Linked DNA regions of Oryctolagus cuniculus. The protein of the gene in region 2 purifies or fractionates together with the protein of the main gene of each other region. This does not show direct contact. Links are inferred from orthologs where the notes say so. Each region holds a gene or a part of one and is shown on either strand. Other genes may lie near its edges.

Evidence for each region.
Region 1: the proteins of GRB2 (region 2) and SYK purify together in Homo sapiens (affinity purification with western blotting; 3 studies listed by BioGRID, with this or other methods). This does not show direct contact. The link is inferred for Oryctolagus cuniculus from reciprocal best matches to the Homo sapiens genes GRB2 and SYK.

The regions. Positions count from the first base shown.
Region 1 is NC_091432.1:139,309,375-139,316,738, forward strand, and holds part of SYK (tyrosine-protein kinase SYK), read left to right. Parts: intron 1-1,921; 5' UTR 1,922-1,969; coding exon 1,970-2,383; intron 2,384-6,187; coding exon 6,188-6,348; intron 6,349-7,364. UniProt on the Homo sapiens protein: Non-receptor tyrosine kinase which mediates signal transduction downstream of a variety of transmembrane receptors including classical immunoreceptors like the B-cell receptor (BCR).
Region 2 is NC_091448.1:5,228,352-5,235,280, reverse strand, and holds the end of GRB2 (growth factor receptor-bound protein 2), read right to left. Parts: intron 3,257-6,929; coding exon 3,088-3,256; intron 2,588-3,087; coding exon 2,402-2,587; 3' UTR 2,053-2,401; downstream 1-2,052. UniProt on the Homo sapiens protein: Non-enzymatic adapter protein that plays a pivotal role in precisely regulated signaling cascades from cell surface receptors to cellular responses, including signaling transduction and gene expression.

The DNA.
Region 1 (7,364 bases), on a different chromosome or scaffold from region 2:
CCTCCCTGTTTGCAGACTTTCTCCGGGTGTTTGTCTTCTGCAGCGTGGGTTTATGCAAGGCACGCAGCTCTGGCCTCAGACTGTCTCTGGCCATGCAGATGGGAAGCGGGGTGCCCAGCGTGAGGTCTGGAGAAGTGGGGGGGGGCAGCGTGGCGCCCCAGGCTGAGGGATGGGGACATGTGGGAAGGACACAACGTTCTGTGTCTCAGGCCTTGAGGTGACCGCAGGTGACGGTTCTGCACGGCCTGTGACCGTGGCCCTCACTTCAGCTCTCACGGCTTCTACCACCGTGTGTGGCTACACAAAGCAGCAGCCTCTCCTGGTTCAGGCGGAAACTGTTTAGTGATGCCTCTGCTGTGAATTAGCCGTGATGCGGAGCAGGTCCTCTGCACCCACAGAGGAGCGGTGGCTGTCAGCTCACGCTGGCGTCTGCCTCCAGCGTGGACCCTCAGGATGAGCTCTGAGTCATGTGTGGCAACATTGCTTTTGCTTATTCCCTACTTTTTATTCTTAGGCTTCTTTATCCCAACCAAAAAAAAAAAATCGATCAATTTGGTCACTTTGGTCAGATGCTCTGTGTCCGGGTTAACAATTCAGAGGGTGAGAAGCAGGTGTGGCACAACAGGTGAAGCCGCACTTGGAATGCCCGCATCCCATGTCAGAGTGCCTGGGATGGAGCCACGCTCCCACTTCCAATCCAGCTTCCCGCCAACGTGCCTGGGAGGCAGCAATACTTGGATTCCTGACACCCATGTGGGAGACCCAGATGGAGTTCCTGGCTTCCGGCATCAGCCTGGCCCAGCCCTGGCCGATGTAGACATTTGGGGAATGAACCAGCCGATGGAACATCTCTGTCTTTCCCTCTCTTTCTATCACTCTTCCTTTCAAATAAAAAAATAATCTGTGAAATAGGATTCAGAGAGTGTGCAGGGAAACTGTGATAATTGTACAGGACAAAGTAATCCTGACCCAAATAGAAATGGACAAAAGGCCAACGTGCCACTGGACAAGGTTTACTGGGGGTTTAAGCACAAGGGAGACAGCTTCGATGAGGGGGGCTGGGCAGGGGTTTTTACAGGATGGGGGCCTCCTCTCAGCACATGACACTTGGACTTGTACCCAGCTCAGTATTGTGTGCATGCACAGTTCCTTTTTTTTTTTTCTTTTTGCACACAATGGGCTCAAAATTGTGGCATTGGTCATTACCAGCACCACCCCAGAAAGGTCATGTACCTATCACATTGGACTGTTCTGGGCACGTGCAGGTTGGGGGAATCCTTAATAGGGCAGGTAGAGTCTGGTTGCTGTCTCTCCTGATTGGGTTGGAGCTGCAGCTGGACACCCATCAGGTGGGAGGACCCTGACTTAGTAAATTCTGCTTTTATCCAGTCTCAAAGGGACCCCAGCGTGGTGGGCAGCCCAGCGAGGGGAGTGCTTCCATTCTGAGCTGGACTGGCAGGTCTCCGGTTTGAAAGGATCCAGGGGGTTTTAGCAAATGCCCCTTGCTGCTTGGGCTCCTCACATTGAGTGATCTGAGAATCTGTCCCCCCACACTCACGTGGAAGTCTAATCCACAAGGTCTTGTGTTCATGGTGCTAGGGGGCTGGGGACTTGATCCAAGTGTGCTGCTCCCCGGTGGAACCTTTGGGCAGTGATTAGATTGGATTAAATCATGGCGTGGAGCCCTCAGGATCAGATCCTAGTGGCTTTATAAGGAAAGAGGAGATATAAACAGACATGTATGCTCCCACCACGATATGTTATATTCCAAAAGTCCTTTGCCAGAGCCTTGCTATGTTATTTGGAGCCAGCACATCTAGAAGCATGAGCCAAAGTAAACCTCTTTATAAAGTATCCTTTCTTGGGCATTTCATTACAGTAACAGAAGCTGACCGACACTCCCATCTTTGTCTTGCCCCAGGTGGACCCCTGCATGTGCCCTTGCATCTCCTAAGGGGCCAGCACAGCCATGGCCAGCAACACGGTGGACAGTGCCAACCACCTGCCCTTCTTCTTCGGCAACATCACCCGGGAAGAGGCCGAGGATTACCTGGTCCAGGGAGGCATGACTGATGGGCTCTACCTGCTGCGCCAGAGTCGCAATTACCTGGGCGGCTTTGCCCTGTCGGTGGCCCACGGGAGGAAGGCGCACCACTACACCATCGAGAGGGAGCTCAATGGGACCTATGCCATCGCTGGTGGCAGGACACACAGCAGCCCCGCCGAGCTCTGTCACTACCACTCTCAGGAGTCCGACGGCCTCATCTGCCTCCTCAAGACGCCCTTCAACCGGCCCCCTGGGGTGCAGCCCAAGACCGGGCCCTTTGAGGACTTGAAGGAGAGCCTCATCAGGGAGTACGTGAAGCAGACGTGGAACCTGCAGGTGAGGTGTGGCCAGCCCTGAGTTCATAGGTCCCTATAAACCCACACGTGCAGAACCATGGTGCATGTAAACCATACCACAGCGCCCAAATCCGTGCATAGTTTTTTCGTAATATGCATTTCCCATGAACTTTGAAGATCCCATGTGTGCATGGATTTCAAAGTATTTTGCACAAAATTTTTTTTTTTTTAATTCTATCTTCTGCAAACCTATTGAAGAAATCTCCCGGCAACCATTTCCGTAGTCATCAACCCTGGCTCCAAATGCTCCAAGAAGACTGCCCTTCCTCTGTACAAACACAGCCCAGAGAGTGGGCCCCTGCCCTCCAGCCACGTGGGTGTCTCCACTGCAGGAAGCCATTCCCCTGCCACCCAGTTCATGGCGGGCCCTTTGGGAGAGGCATGGCTGGGCATCTATTGTTATTTATTCTCCTAACAAGGTCATGGTGTGCCCGCTGTTTGGAACCAGATTTTTTTTTTTTGACAGGCAGAGTGGACAGTGAGAGAGAGAGAGAGACAGAGAGAAAGGTCTTCCTCTGCCGTTGGTTCACCCTCCAATGGCCGCCACTGCTGGCGCGCTGCGGCCGGCGCACCGCGCTGATCCGATGGCAGGAGCCAGGTGCTTATCCTGGTCTCCCATGGGGTGCAGGGCCCAAGCACTTGGGCCATCCTCCACTGCACTCCCTGGCCACAGCAGAGAGCTGGCCTGGAAGAGGGGCAACCGGGACGGAATCCGGTGCCCTGGCCAGGACTAGAACCTGGTGTGCTGGCGCCGCAAGGTGGAGAATTAGCCTAGTGAGCCGCGGCACCGGCTTGGAACCAGATTTAATAGCTTCCTAAATCTCTTGCAGACATTTCTATGTATCAGTTACCCTGTCTTTGGTTGCCTGGCATTGCCTGTTGTGTACCAAATTTATTTAGCTAGTCCTTGTTGATGGACATTTTTATGGTTTGAAAAATAATTCTCCTAACAACAGTATTCTGTCCCCATCTTAAACTAAGCTTATGTGCAATGCCTGCCAGATAAACTCTAAAAAGGCTAGGTTTGTCACAGCCCAGGGTATGAGTGTGTGTGTGTGTGTGTGTGTGTGTGTTTAATGTGGATACATTGACGAGTTCCATCTACAAAGGTGACAGAGGTTGTAACCATTTGCGCTCCTGCCACATTCATTCTTGATAGTATTTGGTGTCAAGAGCCAACAGTTTAGATTGATAGTCTCTTCTTGGACATAAGTGCTCAACCACTTCTCCTTGTGCTCCCGGGAGGTCTGTCTTGTGCTTTGCTATGTATTTGATGCATGCTGATTTATGGCCATATGGATCCTCTGAGGACGCCATAGAGACTCCGTTTATTCATTCAGTATGGCCTGTGTTAAATTCAGCCTCGCAGAGGGATTTTGCAATAATGTACTCAGTATTTTTCATTCGTATTCATTGGGTATGTCTTAGGCCATGCATTTATTCTTTATTAAGTCAGGTAAGTCATATTTCTTGGGTGGAGTTTACACACAGTGAATTGATCCGTTTTGAGTGTGCAGTCCTATGATCTTTGACATATGCCTGGTATCACATAATCCCTACATCGTCAAGGCAGGCATTAGCTCCCTCACCTTCATCTGTCCCAGCTCCTGGAAACCGCTCATTTGATTCCTGTCCCCACCGTTTCGCCTTTTCTAGAATGTCACGTAAGGGGAATTCCACAGCATGTAGCCTTCGCAGAGTGGCTTCCTCCACAAAACGCGATGCGCCTGCTATTCAGCCGTGGCATTGCCGGTGCCCAGGGCTATGTCTGGCCTGTGATCTACAGCCATGTGCTTTTTCCTCCGTTCACCTTGTTCCGCGTGCCCCGTGGTGTATGACTGTCGCCGTCCTTGTCTCCCTCCCTGCCTTCTGCCTCCCTTCTTCCAGCTCCTGCTGTGGGATGGCAACAGTTATGTTGTTAGTGCTTCTCTTCTCCAATGCGAGGAATCGAACTTTGGCTCTTCAGTGACTAATGAGATGATCTATGTCTCTCCCACCGAAAAAGACAGAGAAACCAAATGGCGTGGCTGCCAGCCCCTTCCCCCATGTTGGATTTCCCCATCGTTAAGTCCGCATGGTCAAGGCTTTCTGCCATCATGCGTGTGATCCCATTTCTTGCAGGTGCAGGTGCAGGCTGGGGTGGGGGAATGAGTACTCGGGGAAGCCACACGCGCTTTCCTTGCAACTGCCTGGAGGTTGCGACACAGGACAGCCAGGCCATCTAGGCTGCAGGCAGGAGGCCGCGCCCTAGACCTTGTGGGTTATACCAGGTGCCATGCAATAGCTTTTGACAGGCCAGTCTCCTTATTCTACAATCTGGTTTTTTTTTTTTTTTTTTTTTTTTTTTTTTTTTACTATACTCTTGAGGATACTTAAGTAATATACAGGGAGTCTTCAAAGTTCTTGGAAAATGCATATTATGAAAAATCTATTCATGGTTTTCCAGGTTTTTTTTTTTTTTTGCACCAGAAAATGGTATCTTAATTCCATTTCCATGAGGATCCTCAGATAAAAGTCTTACTGTTTGTATTTAATTTTTTTTTTGACAGGCAGAGTGGACAGTGAGAGAGAGAGAGACAGAGAGAAAGGTCTTCCTTTGCCGTTGGTTCACCCTCCAATGGCCGCCGCGGCTGGTGCGCTGCGGCTGGTGCGCTGTGGCCGGCGCACCGTGCTGATCCGATGGCAGGAGCCAGGTGCTTCTCCTGGTCTCCCATGGGGTGCAGGGTCCAAGTACTTGGGCCATCCTCCACTGCACTCCCTGGCCACAGCAGAGAGCTGGCCTGGAAGAGGGGCAACCGGGACAGAATCCGGCACCCCGACCGGGACTAGAACCCGGTGTGCCGGCGCCTCAAGGTAGAGGATTAGCCTAGTGAGCCGCAGCGCCGGCCTGTTTGTATTTAATAAATGAGTAGACGATGAGTGAGTGAATGAACCAAGTCTGATCCCATTGTAGCATGGAAGGGTGTTAGGACCCAGGACAGACCGAAAATGACTTCTGTGCATGTCATTTTTTTCTTTTTTTAGCTGAGAACTCTTTTTTTTTTTAAGATTTTGTTTATTGAATAAATAAAGATAGAGTTAAAGACAGGGGGAAGGAGAAACAGAGAGAAAGGTCTCCCATCCACTGGTTTGAAAAGGCCAGAGTTGCGCGGATCCAAAGCCAGGAGCCAGGAGCTTCTTCCTGGTCTCCCACACAAGTGCAGGGGCCCAAGTTCCATCTTCCACTGCTTTCCCAGGCCATAGCAGAGAGCTGGATTGGAAGTGGAGCAGTGGAGCCGGGTCTCGAACTGGCGCTCATAAAGGAATTTGGCACCCCAGGCAGAAGCTTTACCCGCTATGTCACAGCAACGGCCCTATGTTTTTGTTATTTTTCCAGGGTTGTGGGTTCTCAATTTGTATCCATTTCTTTTTGTTTGTTTGTTTTTCTTGAAAGGCAGAGTTAGAAAGAGAGAGAGACAGAGACAGAGAGAGAGAGAGAGATCTGCCGGTTCACTCCCCAAAATGTCCACAATGGCCGGGGCTGGGTGAGGTCTAAGCCAGGAGCCTGGAATTCCATCCTGGTCTCCCACGTGAGTGCAGGGGCCCAACAATTTGGCCCATTTTCCACTGCTTTTCCCAAGTGCATTACAGGGAGCAGGATCGGAAACGGAGCAGCTGGGGCTCAAACTGGCGCCCATAAGGGATGCCGGCGGCGCTGGCGAGGCTTAGCCCACTGCACCCCAGCACCAGCCCGGTACCTGTCTCCATCTGTGCCTGGCTTGCTCACTGTCTTCCCTCGCTGCAGGGCCAGGCTCTGGAGCAAGCCATCATCAGTCAGAAGCCGCAGCTGGAGAAGCTGATCGCCACCACCGCCCACGAAAAGATGCCCTGGTTCCACGGGAAAATCTCTCGGGATGAATCTGAGCAAACCGTCCTGATCGGATCGAAGACGAACGGAAAATTTCTGTAAGTGTGGCGCGTCCTCTTTCCTCTCACCTCTGACGACGGGGCTGCTTGGGTGATGAGGGGTAATTCGGCATCCCCAACACTAGACGCTGTGATCTGAAGATGTGCTGGGTGGAAGCTGTCCCTTGTGACCCAGCCTGACCTTCCAGTGAGCTCTTCCCGGGCACTCAGCCCCGCAGCCTGCATTTCATGGCCAACACGGGCTGTGTGACCCTAACCGTGTGGCCAGCTAAAAAAGGCTGCTGGTGGTCCACTCAGAGTCCCCACGTGATCTCAGCGGACGAGAGGACTATTTTTACTTTTAACCAAGCTGCACCGGGGCAGATAGAGAATGTCCTGGGAGTAGCATATCCGAACCAGTGAGTGCAGCTGTCTGTTCAGAGGCAGGTTGGTGAACTTTGGCCTTGTGAATTCCGAAACTTAGGAAGCGTGGATCCTGAGTTCTGCTCATGGTCATCCTGAGTGCTGAATGCCACCTGAATTTCAGAGGGCTCTGGAGGTGCAGGCCGGCTCGGGCAGAGTTGGTTAGCAGCCACGGAAATTGTGGGCGACAGTCTCAGGTGAGCTGCGGCAGCCGGGGCAGCGTGCGGACAGCCACTGCCAGGGTTTGGAAAGCACGTCTGTTTGTCACCCCTCAGTGTTGCTTCCCGGGGTCCCCTGAGGACAACAGCTCCGTCTGGCCTTGCAGATGGAAGCAGAAAGAACGACACTGGCTCAGGCACATTGATTAGCCCCAGCAGACTCTGTCAACTTGTCCTCCCATAGGAGGGTCTTCTGTGAGTGTATTTAGAATTTTCCACACACTTTAGCACAGTCCCTCTTACCTTGCAACGGATCTTAAACACAATGCTCTGTTTAAACTTAAACAAAAGGCAAAGAGATTTTCCATCTGCTGGTTCATTCTCCAAATGCCTGCAGAGCCAGGACCCAGCTAGGCTGAAGCCAGGAGCTGAGAACCCAATCCAGGTCTCCCACATGGACAGCAGAGATGCAGCTAATTCAGCCGTCACCTGCTG
Region 2 (6,929 bases):
AGGCACGTCTCAGGCCGAGCTGCTGGGAGCCCCTTCCTCCCAGGTGTCCGTCCTCTCCTTCAACAGAGAGGAAGTGCAGAACCAACAGCCGAGCTCTCTGTCGCTCTACGCCGGCTTCTTGAGGGTGGCCTGCGGCTTGTCCACACCAGCAGCACCAAGGACTCCTCCCTGCACCTCAACCAAACTGTCCTGAGTCTGCACTGTTAACTAGCTTTCCCAAAATCTTTTTTTTAAAGATTTATTTACTTGAAAAGGCAGAGTTACAGAGGACAGCGAGAGGTCTTCCATCTGCGCGTTCACTCCCCAAATGGCTGCAACGGCAGGAGATGGGCCAATCCGAAGCCAGGAGCCAGGAGCTTTTTCTGGGTCTGCTACACGGGTGCAGGGGCCCAAGCACTTGGGCCATCTTCCACTGCTTCCTGGGCCATCAGCAGGGAGCTGGATAGAACTGGAGCAGCCCAGTTGGGATGCCGGCGTGGCAGGTGGAGGCTCAACCCACCACGCCACAGTGACAGGGCTGGCATCACTCCCGAGAGGCCCCGACTGCCTGACCTTACACCTTACGCAGTTTCCAAATTTTTACATAAAATGAAGCAAGGGGGAGCAAAAAGAAGCAGAATGAAGAATTCATTGTACGTTTATTATTCACAGTTAATCACTACCTACCAAGTGCCACCCGCAGAGTTACAGGATTACGTACATAGGTCTTTTTAGTTAAACACGGATTTGTTTTTAAATATATACACACAAAACTTAGTTCAGCAAGGCTTCATGATATACACCAACTCCAAAATAAAACAATCAGACGGTCCAGGTGTGGACGCCAGGTGTTCCTTTGATCAGCAACGCGGGAGGGAGGGCGGGAGCAGTCGGACGGGAGCCAGGAGAGGCGTGAACATGCTCTGTCCACAGGAGCAGCGGCCTCCAGGCCTCCGGGACCCGCAGGCTGAGTCTGTTTCCACACCACAGTCTGGGGAGATGCCACTGAAGGGTCACAGAGGCCCAAGGCCACCAGCACTCCCAGGGAGGGAAAGCAGCAGCCTCGTCCGTGTCCTGGGGAGGAAAAGCCCACGAGCCCAAACGACAAGGGACGGAGAGCTGACACGGAGAGCTTAGAGGGGCTCCAGCCTCTGTCTTCCCAGCGCCCCCCCCCCCCCCCCCCGGGTGGGGATGGTGCTGGGGGCCGGCCTGCTGCGAACGGGACAAGGAACAGTGTGTCCCAGCTTTTGCACACTGCCCTGCTGCTCACCTGGACAGGTGAGGGGACACAAAAGGTGAGAGCCATGACCTAATGTCAGGAGCAAGAAAAACACAAATACTCTCCTTCTGCAACCTAACGCAGGCCCACAGTCCCACCTGCCGCAGCTCAAGAACAGCAGCCTAACAGCACTTCCTCCACTGGCTCTCCTGTGTCTGAGACTTGCTGGCTCCAGGGGTCTGAGCGGGGGTCTCTGGGGTCGGCAGGGTAGACAATACCCGGACCACAAGGCAAGGACTCAGATCCAGCCAGACGCCGTAGAGCTGCAGCCGGCCCTTCCCCGGCACACCAGGGCCGGCGGCTCCCTCAGACCCTGGCCTTCTGGCTTGGTACGGGTAGAACGCCCCCCTCCCCGCCTTCCGCTGTCTCCTCCCTCTACCCTGCTTTCCCCTCCCCTGAGGGAAAAGGATTTACAGAGAGTGGGAGACGAACCGGCTGGAAGGCCAATTTGGACTGTCTTTAATTTATCTGAAAACAAAACAAGTAAGACACATCCCTCCTAAGCAACCCGGGACATGGGGAAAGGCACCATGGGAAACAGCAATGCTCAGGGACGCCGCTCCCACGTGGAGCCAGCGACGGAGGCTTTCAGTCCGACTTTCTCAGGAAGCCGAGGGGCAGGTGACACGCCTCCCTCCCACCCCCGACAGAACAGCCCCAGGCTGGGCCCGCGGACGCCACCCTGACCCGGCAGAAGCTGCCCGCCTGCTCCTTTCTGTGTGCACGCACGGAGAACACAGCAGTAGTTGTTCCAACTAAACAGACATTTTGCATAGAGAAGATACCAGCGCACGTGGTTTCTTTTCTTTTATTATTGGCATCAGCTAGGACTATACGTGGCCTTACACGTCATGCACTGAAGAACGGGAGAAAAAGGACGAGAAAAAGGACAAAGGCGGGGCAAAGGAGCAGCGGTGAAAATCTGTAATAAAAACTCTTTTCTTAATAGGTAAGTTTTGGCATTTTTATATCCAATGCCCCCTCCCACCCCCCGAAGTTCCAACCCAGGTCAGAGAGTCACGGGCGTGAGGTGACCCAGCCAGGTGTCCGGGCTCCTGCAAGGCTGCTGGGAGAGGCAGCCCGGGGCTGTCATTCTTTCGTGTTTTCAACTTTTCACGGCTTTAAATAACCTCCCCTTGATTCTTAGACATTCCGGTTCACGGGGGTGACGTAATTGCGGGGGAACATGCCGGTCTGCCCGTGGCAAGCCCCCTTCCACCAGTTGGGGTCAGAGTTATCCATGACATGGATGAAATCTCCCCGGCGGAACCCCAGCTCTCCGTCCTCCTGGGGGTCAAAGTCAAAGAGGGCCTGGACGTACGTCGGCTGCTGCAAAAGAGGAGCAGGGAAAACACGCGTGTGACACCCCGAGCCTGGAGTCCTTCCTGCGCTGGGCACCCACGCTCGGGGGCTGCACTCCCCAGGGCGTGTCAGCAGCATAGTCAGCACCCCTGGGAGTCTGGGCTCCTGCACAGCCCAGGATCCAACACCTCTGAGCTCCTGTCGCTGCCAACACCCTCGAGGGTTTGCAGTCAAAACATCTGGATGAGCTTGAAAACATAAGGTGGTGGACTCAGCTGGGCCGCCAGGGACAGGCGCACAGGTGCGAGCACAGGCCCCAACCCTCCCTACAGGACACCCCTCACAGTTTTCTTCCCGGGACAGAATAGCTGACAGACAGGTGGTGAGCGAGCCACACACCTGACTGCAAACCGCAGGCCTCTGTGTGAGCTAAGGGTGATGTCCTGAGCACGGGGGCTGGAAGTGACCCTCTGAAAGGCACCTGCTCCTAACCGCTGGAGGTGAGCCCGACTCTGCCCCAGCCTTACCTGCGGCACCTGCTCTATGTCCCGCAGGAATATCTGCTGGTTTCTGGAGACAGACGTCGACCTGTGGTAATCCACCAGCTCATTCAAGGAGTTGAACTTCACCACCCAGAGGAAATACTTCCCCGCTCCGTCTCGGAGCACCTTGAAGTGCTGCACGTCATTTCCAAACCTGGGGGTGGGGCAGAGAACACAGCACGTGGGTCAAAGGGCTCTGGCCTGGCCCATGAGGCCCTCTGCCAAACAGGAGGGGTCCAGAGAAAGCCACTGTCTGGCAACGCTCCTCACAGCCTGCGGGCCGGTTGGCTACACGCCACTGAGCCTGGCTGGAGAGGGTGGGACGGCCGCTGAGCGTGCCGAGACCCTCACCGTGACTGACGGTCACCCGCAACAACACAAAGAGCCCTCACGGGACAGGCCAGGCCCCACTCGGTCTAATTCTACAGGCATTTATGGGATGGAGAATGAGGCCGGCGCTGCAGCACACTGCGCAGAGGCGCTGCCCGTGGCACCAGCATCCCATGCGGGTGTCAGTTCAAGCCCCAGATGCTCCATTTCTGACCCAGCTCCCTGCTAATGCAACTGGGAAAGCAGCAGAAGATGGTCCGATATCTGGGGCCCCTGCCGCCGTGTGGGAGACCTGGAAGAGGATCCTGGCTTCAGACCCGCCTAGTCCTCGTCATTGCGGCCATGTGGGGAGGTAACCAGAGCATGGAAGACCCCCCCCACCCGCCGCCGCCCCTACCGCTCTCTGTCTTTATCTCCTCTGTCTCTGCAACTCTGCCCTTCATGTAAATTACCTTTAAAAAAAAAAGGAATGTCCCAACCCATGCTGTGCCCTGCACTGTACCAACTACATCAGCCTCACTTAAGACAAGGAATATACCTTAATTAACTACGCTTCAAGCAAAAATAATTAAAATCTCAAAGGTGGGATAGAAAATAAGGTGAGGAAGCAGATACGCTCAACAAAGCTCCAGGTACCAGAAATACTCCAGTCATTTCCCACTTGGGGATTTGAGTTCTACTCACGGGATAAAGGCCGTGGGGGGAAAAAGGATGTACTGGGACAGCAAAAGAGGCCCAGGCACCAAAGTCCCCACACCCTCCATCGCCAGAAAATCCACTCCCCTTAATGCTGGCCAGCAACACAGAGCTGCCAGTGACACCTGCTGTCCCGTTCCCTGCTGAATCCTCCAAGGACTCAGTGAGCACGTGTTCCTCAAAGCCCTCCTTTGGGTCGGTATTGCGCCATAACAGGTAAAGCCCTCGCCTGCAATGCTGGCATTCCATACGAGCGACGGTCAAGTCTGGATGCTAATGGCGTAGGAAAAGCAGCAGACGAAGGCCCCAGTGCTTGGGTCCCTGCCACCCACGTGGCAGACTGGGAGGAAGCTCCCGGTTTCAGCCTGGCTTAGTGCTGGCCATTGCAGCCGATTTCTCTTTTTCTCTGCAACTCTTTCAAATAAGTAAATAGATAATTTTAACGTCAAAGGCCCTCCTTCAGTATTAAAGCCTAAAGAAGCCAACACTTTCCAAAAACAGCCAGCAGGTGGCAGGACTGGGCTTCAAGGAAGCCGGAGTGCAGGATACCAAGTGGGGTTGGGGGAAGACAATCCAGTGGCCCTGGCATTCCCTCCCCCACTATCCATAGTGTGGTTTGTGTGTGTGTGTGTGTGTGCTGCGGGGGGTTCTAAGACCCCCAGTGGATGCGTGAGACGGTGGATAGTACCAAACTGCATATATACTGCTTTCTCTTGCAAACACCACACACACACACACACACACACTTCTATGATAAAGTTAAATTAGTAAGTTAGGTATAGTAAACTAACAATACACAAGACAATTGTAACAACCAACAACCACAAAAAAATAAAAGTCATTTAAAATCTGAACTGTTTGTTCCTGGAATGTCCCGATCAGTATTTTTAGACCACAGTCACTTGTGGACCGTGAAGCCGCGGATGGGGGTGGCTGCTGTACTGCTTTCTCACACACCCACACACAACACACAACACACACACACACGGGGGAGAGAGGAGGGGGAGGGGTGTGTGTGGGGGGGTGCAGTGCTAGTGAGAGGGCTTCTGGAAGAAGGGCCTGTCCTGCACCTCTGGCCCTGGGGACTCGCTGGCGGTGGACGCGGTCAGTTTCTTAGGTGCGTAAGGTCCCGGGTGAGCACTCTGCCAACTACAAGGGCTCGAATCACTGACTCAAAACATCTTAAAAACCAGAGAAACACTGCTGAGGCTGTTGATTCTTGAGCCTCCTTGGTGACACATTTTCTGTTGTCACAGGCAGTCTCACACTTTATTTCTCAGACAATGAATAGAGAATTTGATAAAAGGGAGTGCTGCGGGTTTTGGTGTCTGTGGCAGGAGTGTCCCACACTGAGTGCCCGGAGGTGCTGGCCACCAGCCAATGACCAACTGCTTGTATTCCTAGTCGCACGTTTACTTTATACTCAGTCAGCATAAAACACAAGGGACCGAGATGCACACAGATGATGACCCCACCGCCCTCCCCTCCCCGGGCCACGCTCTGCAGCAGAACTTCACTTGCGATGTTCAATCAAGCCCTTCAAGGAGTCCTTACTGGACAGGCCTTTGGTTAAGAAGCCTGCACAAACATCAGTGTCTGAGCCCCAGCTCTGCTCCGACTCCAGCCTCCTGCTCACGCAGATCCTGGGAGGCAGCGGAGGCGGCTCACTCACAGGAGCCCCTGTCACCCACGTGAGACCTGGATGGAGTCTGGGATCCTGGCTTCAGCTTGGCCCAGCCCCAGCTGTTGCAGGCATTTGGGGAGTGAACCAGAAGGGGGGATCTCTTTTGGTCTCTGTCTTTCAAATAAAATGGAAAACAATCAAACAAACAAATACCCACAATCATGGGTCCTAATTCACATTTTAAAAAAGACACATCTCTATATTTAAATCTGCTGTTAAAAAAAAAATCTATACTTTAACCACACATTAATCTTAAACCAAAATACTAAGTTCTCTTTTAAAGTCTCGTGCTTTATATCATTTGTAAATTATTCTCTTACCCTCATGTTAAAAATAATTTTAGGGGCCAGCGCTGTGGCGAAGCGGGTGAAGTTGCCACCTGCAGTGCCACCATCTCATATGGGCGCCGGGTTGAGGCCCGGCTGCTCCACTTCTGATCCAGCTCTCTGCTGTGGCCTGGGAAAGCAGTACAACATGGCCCAACTCCTTGGGCCTCTGCCCCCATGTGGGAAGACCCAGAGGAAGCTCCTGGCTCCTGGCTTTGGATCAGTGCAGCTCTGGCCATTGCGGCCAATTGATGAGTGAACCAGCGACGGAAGACCCCTCTCTCTCTCCTTCTCTCTGTGTAACTCTTTCAAATAAATAAAATAAATCTTTAAAAATTATAAAAATAACTTTAATGTAATCTATAATAAAACGGCAATCTGAGCTTTAACCTAATTTAACCTAATTACCCATATACATGTGTTTATGTGTATAAACACTAAAGTGATTTGTAAAATTTCCGAGGGAGGGTTTCCTATGATAATTTATTAATCAGAACAGGACTGAAAGCAAAAAAAACAAAAGCAAAGAAAAAAACCCACATGGAAATGAGAACTCAAAATCTTCTCCACTCCTGCTTGCTAGCTCCTTACCACAAATCTACCACCTGGGACGGCTCCCCCCAAATCCTCCCCAGCACCTTGTTAGTTACAGGGAGGTCCAGGACGGGACTGGTCATCTGAGCACTGAGTCCACTGCAGGAACCCCCGGCGGATGCCCATGGAGGGACGCTGCCTGCCTCAGTCCTGGAGACGGCTCCCCCGGGGCTCCATCCAGGGCAGCAAGCCCGGAC